3 linked regions of the Drosophila melanogaster genome follow. The protein of the gene in region 1 interacts with the protein of each later gene in a pairwise test. Each region holds a gene or a part of one and is shown on either strand. Other genes may lie near its edges.

Evidence for each region. Proteins that work in one complex are often made in the same cells at the same time.
Region 2: the proteins of CG10395 (region 1) and CG6380 interact in a two-hybrid assay, tested with the Drosophila melanogaster proteins (one large-scale study listed by BioGRID).
Region 3: the proteins of CG10395 (region 1) and M1BP interact in a two-hybrid assay, tested with the Drosophila melanogaster proteins (one large-scale study listed by BioGRID).

The regions. Positions count from the first base shown.
Region 1 is NT_033778.4:5,348,406-5,352,872, forward strand, and holds CG10395 (uncharacterized protein), read left to right. Parts: upstream 1-2,071; 5' UTR 2,072-2,403; coding exon 2,404-2,416; intron 2,417-2,474; coding exon 2,475-3,307; 3' UTR 3,308-3,315; downstream 3,316-4,467. Other genes in the region: IFT20 (intraflagellar transport 20), read right to left, coding at 3,316-3,711.
Region 2 is NT_033779.5:17,290,200-17,294,074, forward strand, and holds CG6380 (uncharacterized protein), read right to left. Parts: upstream 2,004-3,875; 5' UTR 1,910-2,003; coding exon 1,028-1,909; 3' UTR 876-1,027; downstream 1-875.
Region 3 is NT_033777.3:8,728,915-8,733,647, forward strand, and holds M1BP (motif 1 binding protein), read right to left. Parts: upstream 2,785-4,733; 5' UTR 2,669-2,784; coding exon 2,528-2,668; intron 2,460-2,527; coding exon 1,756-2,459; intron 1,699-1,755; coding exon 1,453-1,698; intron 1,188-1,452; coding exon 1,022-1,187; 3' UTR 876-1,021; downstream 1-875. Other genes in the region: ranshi, read right to left, coding at 10-569, 627-746; CG8202 (uncharacterized protein), read left to right, coding at 3,219-3,235, 3,302-3,392, 3,456-3,569, 3,630-3,801, 3,852-4,507, 4,568-4,733.

The DNA.
Region 1 (4,467 bases):
CAGAATAGTATTGTAAGTCAATAGAATTATTAAGAACAGCTATAATACTATAAAATTTCAAGCAATGGATGCTCTACTTTTTTTTTCGTACGGGTCCCACGGCCACACCTCCCACCCAACCGGCTCGATTCACGAGAAGATAGATGCGATATAAAAAAAAAACAGAAACGAGGCAATGAATATAATGCAAAACAACAGTACCACTTCAACCTCCGAAGAGATAAGTCGTGCCACCCAGTTTAAAGCCCGGCTTCGCGTAAGCCCAAAACCCTTATCAGCAAAATCTTGATAAACAAATATCAACCACAAAGAGAAAATAAAATAAAACCAACAACAATACCGCCAACCCGGGCTCAAGCTCTTAACCAACAATCATGACAGACCCACCAAACATTTACAAAATTACTTCAAAAACATACCATCGCAATTAGGTGAACCTAAATTTATAATTATCAAAAGGAAAGACAACAACTCTTTCGAAAGAATTTCACCATTCATCATAAAGAAATCGGTGGACTTTGCCTGTGGAGGAGAAGTCGAGGGATGCAAACGAACAAGAGACGGCAACCTAAGACCGTCTATAATATTTTAAATCGTGCGGAAAAAGAGGGCAGGCTTGAACCTAAGAGTGGTAATGGGCGGAAAACCAAAATTAACAAGCGAGTAGACTGCCTTAAAAGTGATTGCGAACCCCCGAATCTCGGTCAGATCACTTGCTCAGGATATCAGGGAAGAATATCACCTAACTGTGTCACACGAAACTGTGCACCACGTTATCCTACTACCATAGGTACTCTTCAAGAGTTGCAAGAAAAATGCCTTTGCTATCAGAGGTCAATATTGAAAAGCGTCATTCAGCATGATAGATCATGCGGAAGAGTACTGGGATGACGTCATATTTTGTGACGAAACAAATATGATGCTCTTTTATAACGACGGGCCAAGCAGAGTATGGCGCAAACCGTTGAGTGCGCTAGAAAAACAAAATATCATACCAACAATCAAATTTGGAAAATTGTCAGTGATTATTTGGGGCTGTATTTCCAGCCATGGAGTGGGCAAATTAGCCTTTATTGAAAGCACTATGAATGCCGTGCAATATCTAGATATTTTAGAAACAAATTTGAAGGCCAGTGCAGAAAAATGTGGTCTATTTAGCAACAACAAGCCAAATTTTAAGTTTTATCACGACAATGATCCCAAACATAAAGAGTACAATGTACGCAACTGGCTACTTTATAACTGTGGCAAGGTGATCGATACGCCCCCTCAGAGTCCTGATCTGAACCCCATTGAAAATTTGTGGACCTACTTAAAGAAGAAGGTGGCAAAAAGGTGCCCCAAAACACGGCAACATCTCATTGCTGCGATAGTCGAAGAGTGGGAAAAGATCCCGCTTGAATATGACCTAAAAAAACTCATCCATTCCATGAAAAAAAGGCTTCAACTTGTAGCCAAAGCCAATGGGGGTCATACTAAATACTAAAAATTTTCAAATATTAACAAAATAATTAAAAAATTTATGATTAAACTTAGGTTTAGTGTTTTGTGTAAATAGTTTCTTTACACTCTCAAAAGTGTGTAAACTTGAAATTTGTTGTTTATTTTCTTGTATATTTGATATTTTGAATTTGTTTTTTAATTTATAAGTAAAATAAATATTGTTTAATTATATTTCATAAAAAAATTGCGTTTAATTAAACAAATAACCCTTAATTTTGACCTTTAAAGTTAAAAATTCAACTTATTTCACGGTGTGTAAACAGTTTCTTGACAAACAGTATATATATAGTATAGTATAGTATATATATATATAAAGTTTAGTAAAATAATCGAACATATCGATTGTAATGACACTAACATAAAAAACATTAAACATTACCCGACCAAAAATTCAAATAATTTGTAATTTTATTAAACTTTATCCATTATTCATTTATCAACTTATGCGCTTTTCATGCAGAATTTGAATTCGCGTGCATAAGTGCACATAGATTGGAGTCTCGACATCAGGAACGATATTTAGTTACTATTCAGTTTCATCGGTTATCGGTTCAACACAACCGCTAACCATGGTTTTGCTATGTATTCTGTGAATTGCTTAAATGCATTTAGGAAGGGGAATACAAAAATATATTGTGCACAATTCAAATTTTTTTTAGTATTATTATTATAATTATTATTATTATAATTATAATCATTATAAGTTTAAAATCATTATACTATGTGGCCAGAGAGATTGCACGATTTTCCCAGCCGTTTAATAAGGATGTCATTTGTGGAATTAGGCTATAAGCATCGTAGTGGATGTATGACCAATGCAATTTTTGGACATTTGAAAAAATTAAGCATAACAAACAAAAATATTGGCCGCTGCTACAGGACGAGTGTATTTCAATTGAAATGGTGAAAGAAGGTAATTTATATCAATCACCAAACGTTACATCTTAAAAAGTAACATTTTTTATTCATAGGTTCTAAGGATGCAGAGTACTTATCTGCTGAGTCTATTTCAAATTCGTTGAGACCTAAAGAACTTCATTACACTACAGATGCGCTTGCATCTAATTCAAATATTCATGAACATCCTCTTAGACGCACGAGAAATATTAGCACAAAAAAATTGGCACATGATGACAGTTTGCCTCACACGGGTGCTAAAAAAGGTAAAAGACGACGCAACAGTGATACGTCCAGTGAAGAGGATCGGTGGCTTACCGCCATAGAAACCGGGAAACTAGACGTTGTTGATGAGGAACTTAAAAAGATAAAGGACCCCAAACTTATGACAGCACGTCAACGTGCTATTTATGAACGGACACAGGACTCCGAAATAAATGGATTTATAGAAGAGCTAATTGCTCTTCCAAGTGGTTATAAAGAAAAGGAAAAGCCGCAGACTGCGGAGGAAATTCATAAAGCTCTTCTGAAATCTCAAAAACGAAAACAACAAGCTGACGAACGCAGAGAAAAAGATAAATTAAAGACAATGGAGCGGTTGTTAAAAAAACAGGCAACCAACAGGGATCGGATTTCAATTCGCAATAAGTCTTTACAACAGCCCTCTTATCCAAAAATAACCTATATAAGTGCTGTAACTGGCAACTATGTAATAGTTCCCCCAGGTTACGAATATCCTTTAAAAGTTCAACTCCCTCGTACACCTCCTCCTTCACAGGTGTGCTTTGTAAGCGGTTGTGAAAATCGCAAGACATATAATTGTTCAACAACAAATGTTCCATTATGTAGTCTTACATGTTATCGTAAGAATATCAACAAAATAAGAAAAACGTCTACAAATACGTAGATTTAATTTTAATATTGATTGACAAAAAAATTGTTTATTATTTCATGTTGCTCCGTTTCAATTCGCTGTAAAAACTGCAATTCGCCTTTTAAGCGTTCAAGTTCTACTGTTTGCTCAAATATCTCATATTGATAGACTTGCTGCTTGTTCTGGCGCTGAATAAATGCCGTTTTTAATTGATTTTGAGTACCAATAGCGCGTAGTTTTTCCTTATCGACATCTTTGGCAAACGTTTCAGAAATATTACAATAATTAAACACAAACTTTTTAAAAATAGTGAATGCTTTAATGTAGTTGAAGCATTCTTGTTTAAACATTATTTTGCTACTGGAAAGGTTTGGATGCTCAACTCGCACCGTGTAAATTTCATCTATAAACACACCAACTTTTTGAAGTTCTTCCATCTTATTGCGATTGTAACAAAGTAATACTTTCTTACTATGCGTTGCGTTGCTATTGACAACTGAACGAGTCGTAAACAAATAAGAGCTACGCGTTTGTATATAAATGCATTGAGGCTTTAGTATTTTTCTTTTGGAAATTATATTAGCTTTCAGTATTTGAATTATTTGAAATGCAAATAATAACCCTTTTTTAATAACCCGTTACTCGTAGAGTATAAGGGCATACTAGATTCGTTAAAAAGTAACAGGCAGTGGGGGGGAGCGTTTCTGACCATATAAAGTATTTATATTCTTGATCAGGATCAATAGCCGAGTCGATCTGGCCATGTCCGTCTGTCCGTATGAACGTCAAGATTCAGGAACTATAAAATTATATTTTACATTAATTTTTTTATAATTATTAATTAATTAATTTTTTACATTATTATTAGTCTTGTAAATTTCTATCGTTTTGCAAAAATAAATTGGTTGCCACGTCCACTCTAACGCCCTAAAAGCGCCTAAAGCTGCCACTCCCACTTTTTTTTAAAAATTTTGGATATTTTGTCATAATTTTATTAGTCTTGTAATTTATATATATTTGCCAAAAAACTTTTTTAAAAGGCCCACTCTAATGCCCTAAAACATCCCAAAACCGCCAAGCCCACATTTTTGAAGCATTGTTTTTAGTTTATTTTGTTTCGTTAATTTTATTATTTGGAGTACGCATTCACACTTGCTGGGTAAAACACACACTCTAATAGTCGAGAAACATTT
Region 2 (3,875 bases), on another chromosome or scaffold:
AAATGGTACAATACAATTGTACAGCCATAGTTTACATATTGACAGAGAAATGCCTAATCTGTGCTAAGACCAAACATCTCTAAATAAAATGCTTGACCTTAACGTTTAAGTTTTATTTACAAGATCAACGTTACTTAACGTATTTGCCTTTACTCATTTTCTTCTCCGAAAGTATTTGCAAATAAATCTAATTGAAATCTATTCAATGATAACATGGCCCCATAAATATTCATGACACTTCCCCCAACCACCATCCGGTTTTGTGTTGTCCTTTCATTTGCAAGCGAATTGACCGAAGCTTAATAATAATAAAACTGAACTGCTACGGCATTTAATGGCTAAATTAAACATTTTGCATAATTATTTCAAGTGATTCTGCAGTTGTAATATCCGAGGAATTATCTTAAAGGGCAGAAATCAGTTTTCTTCACAATTGGAATGGCCAGAGCATGAAATCAGAATGAAAGCGATTGGCCGGAAGGAAAACTCTTCGGTTGCCTAGACTGTCAAAAGGAATTTTCAATCACAAAACAAAATGCCAAAATAAGTTAAACTCTGGCTGTGTATCCTTGTATCTAGCTTCGGCCGAATGATGATTACCGTTAGGACATTGCGTAATTAAATATTCCCCAGACCAGTGAACTTTCGGAAGCAAAGTATTAATAGATGGGGAGCAAATGAAGGTTAGTGGGTTAATCATATCAACATCTCAGCAATTAGCCTGGCCAGTGGTACTTAGAATTTTCCTATAATTTCCTTAGCAACTTAGACGAGGCACGAACAGGAGTGGAATGACCGAAAGTTATTGGACACAATTTTTGTGATTGAGTAATTAAAGATATTTATCCTTGAGTAAAAACCATTAGGCAACATTTGTTAAAAGCTTCTTCTACAAAAGAGTGTAGATAGATGTAGTGTAATAGATACTTTCTGTCAAATGCATACACAAGTTTTAATCCCCAATGGTTTGTTATAATTACAAGTTTCTTTAATATAACTTTGCAATTTTTAACACTACTGAATGATTTCAGCGGGTCTCTTTCTTAGAAGTGCCAGGACGATTATCAGGGTTGGATTTACATATACGAGCAGGAGTAGGCTTCTCGGACGTTATTTTCAGTGAACTCTTGTGTTCATGTAGATTTTGGGTTTGAGTCGGAACAACCGAAGGGTATGGGACGCGAGGCTCGCGACTTGGTTCATCATCGTTGACCGATGGCATTCGATGCAAGTGCGTTAAAGAGGCCAATTCTTCCGGCTCTGCTTTGCTAAAGAGCTCGGCCTTCAGTTTTTGGTAGCAGTGATGGCTGGGGGAGAAACCTGGTTCAGGCTCAGAATGATCTGATATCCTGTATTCGGATTGACTTTCAGAATATGAGTATTTTGTTTGCGTCAAGTTGCTTGCTTCGCCGTCGAGTTGATTGTTTTCACTGCACGCTTCACAAGATTCCATTCCCCCTTCGCAGTGAATATTAAACTCTGAACTGGTCAACTCGGCAAACTCGTCGGCTATAAGACGTCGAGCCAGTGGAACCGAATAGAACTCCTTGTAATGCACTTTTCGCCGCCTCTCAAACTCCATTCTACGCACTTTTTCCTCTACAGACTCGGGAAAGTCCTCATCCGCCGAGGATTCTTCTGAGTCTCCTTCGATGCCAAATGCCGGCATTTCTGACTTTGATGTGTGTCTCAACTTTTCGATCAGGGCATTTGTATCCAACTCCTTTGGCAAATCCTCCTCAAAGACGAAGGGTGTCTTTGGTTCGTCGATGATCATGTGGCCGTAGTCCTTACCAGCCGGGTGGAACGTGGCCAGTATGTTGACCTCATCAAATTTGGCTGCCTTCAGGCTAAATTGCGCACTATTGTTTCCCGACTTCAGGATGCCCTTTACTTGGTCCCCATCCATTCTTGTTTGTAGCTATGTGTAGTTTTGGCCTTTGAAAGGAACTAATTACCGAACTAAAATGTATTAGTGTAAACTTGTGTGTGCCCTATATGGCTTATAATATTTAACTGATAAAATACATTGTCATCGTCAAAAAATATATAAAAATCGTGGGCTCCTTTTCTTGGAAGATTATTGTATAACTTCATTACATTCGCGTACAATTTTTTATTTTATTTTTAATTTATTATCATAAATCTCTCTATGAACTCTGCACTCAAATTACTCTGTTTAACATTTTAAATTGGGATCTAATTATGTAGTAGAAGGTATGCCTGCTTCAAGTCACATATTATCTTCTTATATTCGATTTTAAAATTACTTTATTTATTGTTACCATACATATTAAATTTGTATGTTTACGTATGTTGTTTAAATGCTGCTTAGTGGAGTTTCAAATTCATTGTTACTCCATCATTATTCTCTGGTAAATTAAGCCAAACATGTTTATTAATTATAAATTAAGTCCTTGTCTCCGTATCGAGCAAATACCCAACCCCTAATCTCGGATAATACCAAATCTCCGATCAGACTGTGGACGGATTCACTTTCAAAATATCAAGTGGTTTTCCTGCTGCAATCTCGAAGTAATCCCTGTTGCCATTGCTACTGTTGTTTTTGTGTTGAGGATGTCAAGAACTCGATGTGTTTGTGTGTGGATGAATGTATTCGGTACTCCAATCGAGATACTTCATAATCCGCGGGAGCAGTTTCCAATCGCAGCCATCGAAACCACAAAGTAAACTCATTTTGACGTGTTCAAAATGGGGTTTTGCCGCCCGTTGGATGGAATGATAGGGGGTTTTGTAAAGCGGAGTCAGAGCAAGGCTTCATTATTGATGCGCCATAGTGGAGTTTTTGTTATTGATGTAAACATATTCATCACAAACATGTTACCTCCGATACGGACGAAAACGTGGAAAATGGGGGAAGTGGGGGCGGTAAATCAAGTGATGATAAGAGGCGTGGGGCAACCAATGCAGTTGTGGCAGTTGCAGTTCGCTCTGTGGCAGCTGCCACTTCAAATAACTTCACTGCACACCGTTTTTCCCGCTTTCTCCCGCTTTTCCAAAGGGAAAAGTGAGGGAGTGCCGCATGTGAAGAGGGGCTAGAGGTCACGGAGCGCTGTATTGGGAATTGATTGCAGCACATTATTTCACAATTTTGCCAGCAAATAAACAAGCCTTTGCCGGAGTACGTTCAGATACGAGCCCAGACACCGCGAGAAAAAATGCGTAAAAATATTAAAGCACGATGCCTTTAATATTTTTATATTAATATTAATATATTTTAAGGGGAGAGACAATATTATCAGTTTCCGTTTATCTGATGGAATGACTAATTAGGTATATATTATTCAAAATGTATATTACTAAAAATTATAAGCTAAATCCGTTTTCTCGCTGTGTAGATCCCCGATACGCTTGCACGCATGTGACGAGCGGATGCTTATAAGCACAGTGGATGCGACAAAACAGCAGCATAAAAGTGACGATGACGAGGATATGTCCTCCTTCACTTGTTCCTCCACGCGATGATGACGTTGCGATGTTGTGTCCTGTTGCGAGGTGAAGATGATGATGATCATCAACATCATGATGATGGAGATATAGGCGATGCCGGCAAACAGTCAACAACTGTTTTTCAGCTGCAGTTTTCCTGCCATGTTTGATTGCCTCTCTGTCGGAGACGAAATGCGATGTTGATGCGGCTAGGAAATTTTTCCTTCGATTTACGAAATTGCAGTTGCCCCGATTGCATTTCTTATGTGCATCAATCGCAACAATGTGCAGTGCCGGCAGGATGTGTGCATTGCGTATCCGCAACTGTGTATCTGTGTTCGAGTGTCTGCGTATATGTGTGTGTATCCGAGTATCTGAGTATCCGTATCCGAGGCTCTGTCTGTGCAAATTCTACGTGCAACGCG
Region 3 (4,733 bases), on another chromosome or scaffold:
GCCACTTACTCGCACCCAAACTCCTTGACGCCGCGATGTCGCTTACAATGCAGTATGAATGATATTCGATCTTTTATGTGATTTCCGCACTCCTCACAAAAGAAGGTCCTATTGGAGTCGCGGGGATTTCGACGATTTCTCCTTTTTTTGGGATTCTCAGAGTCTGATTTGAGTTCCTGCTTTGCATCTACTTCAGTATCGCTTTCGTAAATAAGGTAATCCATTTCACTATAATCAATATCGTCCTCATTATTGGGCTCGTCTTCGTTGATTTTAGATTCATTTAGAATGTCCTCCACTTTAAAACCGGAGCTTTGAATGGGCCCTTCATTGAGATCGTCTAATCGCTCGACTTCTATGCTTATTTCTGCCAGATCCAGTTCCAACTCCTCCTGCTCAAGGACACTTTTGGGAGATTCCTGGCAGATTCTAAGGAAGTCTTCATCATCTTGGGAATGGAGCAACTCCCTTTGGACTTCCAAACAGCGTTCCCTAAAGGATATGGCTTGTTGCAAACAAGTTTGGCAGGACGCACATAGTCGATTTGGCAACGTACTACAGTTCTTTAACTGTAAAGAGAAAAAACTTTAGAAAGTTAAAGACACTACGCATTATTATCCTCTCACCACAGCTCCAGTTAGTAGTTTGATGTGTTCCAGCGTAGTTTGATTGCGCTTTTCAAAAATATTCAATGATCTTTCAGCATTCGTGCGCTTGCCGCAAGTGCGACACACTTTTCCTTCCATTTTTGAGCCGATAAAAAAGTTTGAAACGCCAAACTTTTTGTAAACAATGCTATGCTTGTCAATCAGCTGTTCCGTTTGCCATTCGCATGGAAGCAATTTTTACAGATGAAATAAATGCTCATAAGTTGGGATTTGAAGTTTTGATTTATTATTCAATATTAAGTTCTACATATTACAATTGGTTTGTTAATTATTTGCAGAAATGCTCCTTGGCTGTGCGCCATTGTCGGTCTAGCATTGCCTGTAATTGCTATGTATATATTATAAGGACAGCTTTAGATGTGCAGGCTGTCCTCCTCCTCCTCCTTGAGTTCACGTTTCTGCTCCTGCTCCAGGACCTGTTTCATCTCGGCTTTCTCCAGATGCCGCTTGTGTACGCCAGACCGGAAGTGGGTGCTCAGGTGGGTGGGCAGCATAAAGGACTTGTCGCACAGCTCGCACCTTGAGGGGAAGATTCAGTATTAGATGGCATTTCAAACATTTCAGTAACTGTACCAGTATCACTAGTTTCATATTATTATAAGAAATTATTATAAGATAACTAAATATTACTCACGAAATTTGGCAACATAAGTAATATTTAGTTATCTTAACTCTCATAAGGTTTTGGAAAACTCTTGTAATGCCGCATAATATGATCTTAGAATTTCTAAGAAACCTAGTTATTGGGTTTCCCGGTACTGTGTAGCTGTATGACTCAACGTACCTGTAGGCCCGCTCGCCGGAATGTATCAGCATATGGTTCTTAAGGATGTAGCCGGTAGTGAAGGCCTTGCCGCAAGTACCACAGACGTAGGGGCGCTCATTGGTGTGGGTACGCTCATGCTTCACGCGCGTGGTGTAGTCTGTGAAGCAGCGGCCACAGTACTTACATGCAAACGGTCGCTCTCCGGTGTGCTTGCGCATGTGGCGTTTCAGCTCGGAAGTTGTGCAGAAGCGCGACTGACAGAGTCTGAAAATAAATCCATTTAGTCATACTGTATCCAAAAAGGAGTAGAAATGTACTCACTCGCAGCCAAATTGCTTGTCCCCACGATGGCGACGACAGTGAAGTTCAAAGGCCATGCGTCCCTTGATGTGATTGCCGCACTGCTCGCAGATGTATACTCCGCCGGTGCCACGACGACGCGCATCATCCGACCGGACCTTTGGCTTTGGCGGCAGACTACACTTCTTGACGACAATGTTTTCATGCTCGTACTCATCATCCAGCACGTTGTCAAGAACGGCCACCTCATCATCCGAATCGTAGACGTACGCGTCGTTGACGTCGCCCACAATTAGCTCGGTGTCTTCGTCCAGCTCCAACGTTTGCTGCTGCTCTTCGTCTTCGGCCATTATGGAATCATAGTCGGCCTCTTCAATCAAGGAGGCTGCGTCGTCCTCGCCGGCGTGTCCCTCGGCCACCTCGTAGTAGGTATTATCGTACTCTACCTTGGTGTCGTCGATCTCTTCCTTAGGTTCTTCCAATACGATTTCCTGATAAGTGGCATAGACCTCATCATCGTCGGGCGTCTTCACCGTCTGGACAATATCCTCGCCCATGACAGCCGCCCGGTAGAAGGCCGAGATGCCTTGGCGTTGCTCCTCGGTCAATCCCAAGAGTAGCTCACGCTGGGCGGCGATGCAGCGCTCCCTCAGCTTAACGGCGGAGGCCAGTTCCATGCTGCAGCATTCACATATCTGATCCGGCAGGCAACCGTAGTTCTCCAGCTAGATTAAACACCAATAAATTAAGCTATAACTACATAAATTCCATAAAGCCGCAGTGAAAAATTTACCCGAAGGCCTGTGAGCGCCTCAATGTTGTCGATCATCTTTGTGTTGCTCCGCTCGAATAACTTCGGCGACCGCTTGTTGCTTGCATACTTTGCGCATACGCGGCAGGTGCTCTTTAGGTGTTTCAGCGCCGATTTCGACATTTTTCATTCGCAATCCGAAATGAAATCGTTTTTAAGATATTTGTGAACACAAAAAATAAACGCGTCGCTTGTCAACTGCATTTGCCATTCACCCGGTGTTTCGTGTTAATATTTGCCATTCGCCCCGAAATAAACATATTTTCAGTGGCGTAGGCAAAGGGGTTCATATGATGCCAAAATATATATATATCCTCGAAAATGAATTACTTTGTTAACGTTAGTATTATATATTGCTTTGATATTTAACGGATTTGCATATTTATTATACTCCAATAATATCACATATAAATTTGAATTAATTTGTTTTATAATTTTAAATTTATAAAATTATAAATAAAATCTTTTATTTAAATCTTTAAATTAAATCTTTTTTATAAATTAATTTCTATAGAGCTGCAAGCGAAACGAAATATATACAGTAGAACAGGTTCTAAGCTAAAGTCCCTGGAATTAGTACAGTTTCTTTGGTGTATTTCATCCCTGACCGGCTACGTCCATGTCATGTTGGCAAGCAGCTGTCAGGAATGCCGACAACAACAACCACGACGCTATGGCGAACTTGGAATGGTAATTTATTTATTTTCCCCCGAAAATAAACAAATAAGCATTGATAACCATTTCTCCTGACTGCAGGGTGTGCGTGCCGCGATGCTACGAGGTCCGGAAGAATTGCCTGACTGGGCAGGCCACGCTGGAGCATCCCCTAAAGCAGCGGACGGTGACGGTGGGTAAATGGTACAACGCCCTTATCTGTAAGTGATTTTAATGAAAGAACAATCTCCACCAGGTGGTGGACAGCAATCCCTTGAGCCGAGCTCTAGAGGGCACAGATCCGCTCTCGCAGTTTGCACGCCAAGATGATGAGCTCAACGATCCGCTCAGTCAAATGGTCAGCGAATTCGTAAGTAGAGTGGTGCACCGGCAAGGAACATGACTAAGTTTTTCGCACTTGGATGTTCAGGATCTCAAGTCGAAGCGTCGTGAACGGGACCGAACGGAGCCCGAGGACAACACACTGCAGTGGAGCAGCCGACGACTAGGCATCCTCAACCGCTTTACAACCAATGAGAAGCTATCGCTGTCTACCAGCTTTCTGGTGTCATCTGGTAGCCTGGATGGCGGCAACGAAAGCAGTAAGTTCAGTGGTCGGTTGATCTGTGATATATATTAACAACAATCATAGTTAAAGCACAAACGGTGGTGGCCGACAAGACAAAGTTTCGCTTGGAGCAGTTAGACCACTTCGACGATGGCAGCATGCGTCACATGATGGATCTTACTCAGCAGGAGTACATTCAGCGGTTTGAGCAACTCAAGCAGGAGCTGATCCAGTCCTGGCACAACGATCAGCGAGTAAAAGCGTTGAAGATAGCCATACAGTGTGCCAAAATGCTAGCGGACACCACTGTGCTGCAATTCTATCCGAGTCAGTACGTTCTTATCACTGATATACTGGATGTTTTTGGAAAATTGGTATACGAACGACTGCGTGCTAAGGCCTCTGGAGATCCTGCCGCATCGGCGGCCACATTAGAGCGGGAACGGGAAGCTGCCCGGGATACGTGCCAGAATTGGTTTTATAAGATCGCCTCGATTCGTGAGTTACTGCCGCGTTTTTACTTGGAGCTGTCAATATTCAAGTGCTACGAGTTCCTGTCATCATCGCGCGAGGAGTATGAGCGCATTTTGCAACGTTTGACCCATCAACTGAGGGGTATAGCTGATCCTTTGGTATCGAGCTATGCCCGCTGCTACTTGGTGCGCATGGGCGTTACCCTAACGTCGAGTAAGACATACATAAGAGAGAACTTTGCCGACCTGTTCCTCATATATCCTCAGGTGAGACCGAGAAATATTAAACGTTTAATCACTTTTACTACAAATTTAATACTTTTAAAGATCTTTCGCTTCGTGGCCCGCTTTAATCTGCATCCGGAAATCGTCACCGCCAGCTCCTACCTACAGCTATATGCCCCAGCCTTTGACTACATGCTTCTCTGCCTTGTTCACAAAAGCGAACTGCACACCCAGGATATTCTTAATGAGTGCAAGCAGTTGAAGAATA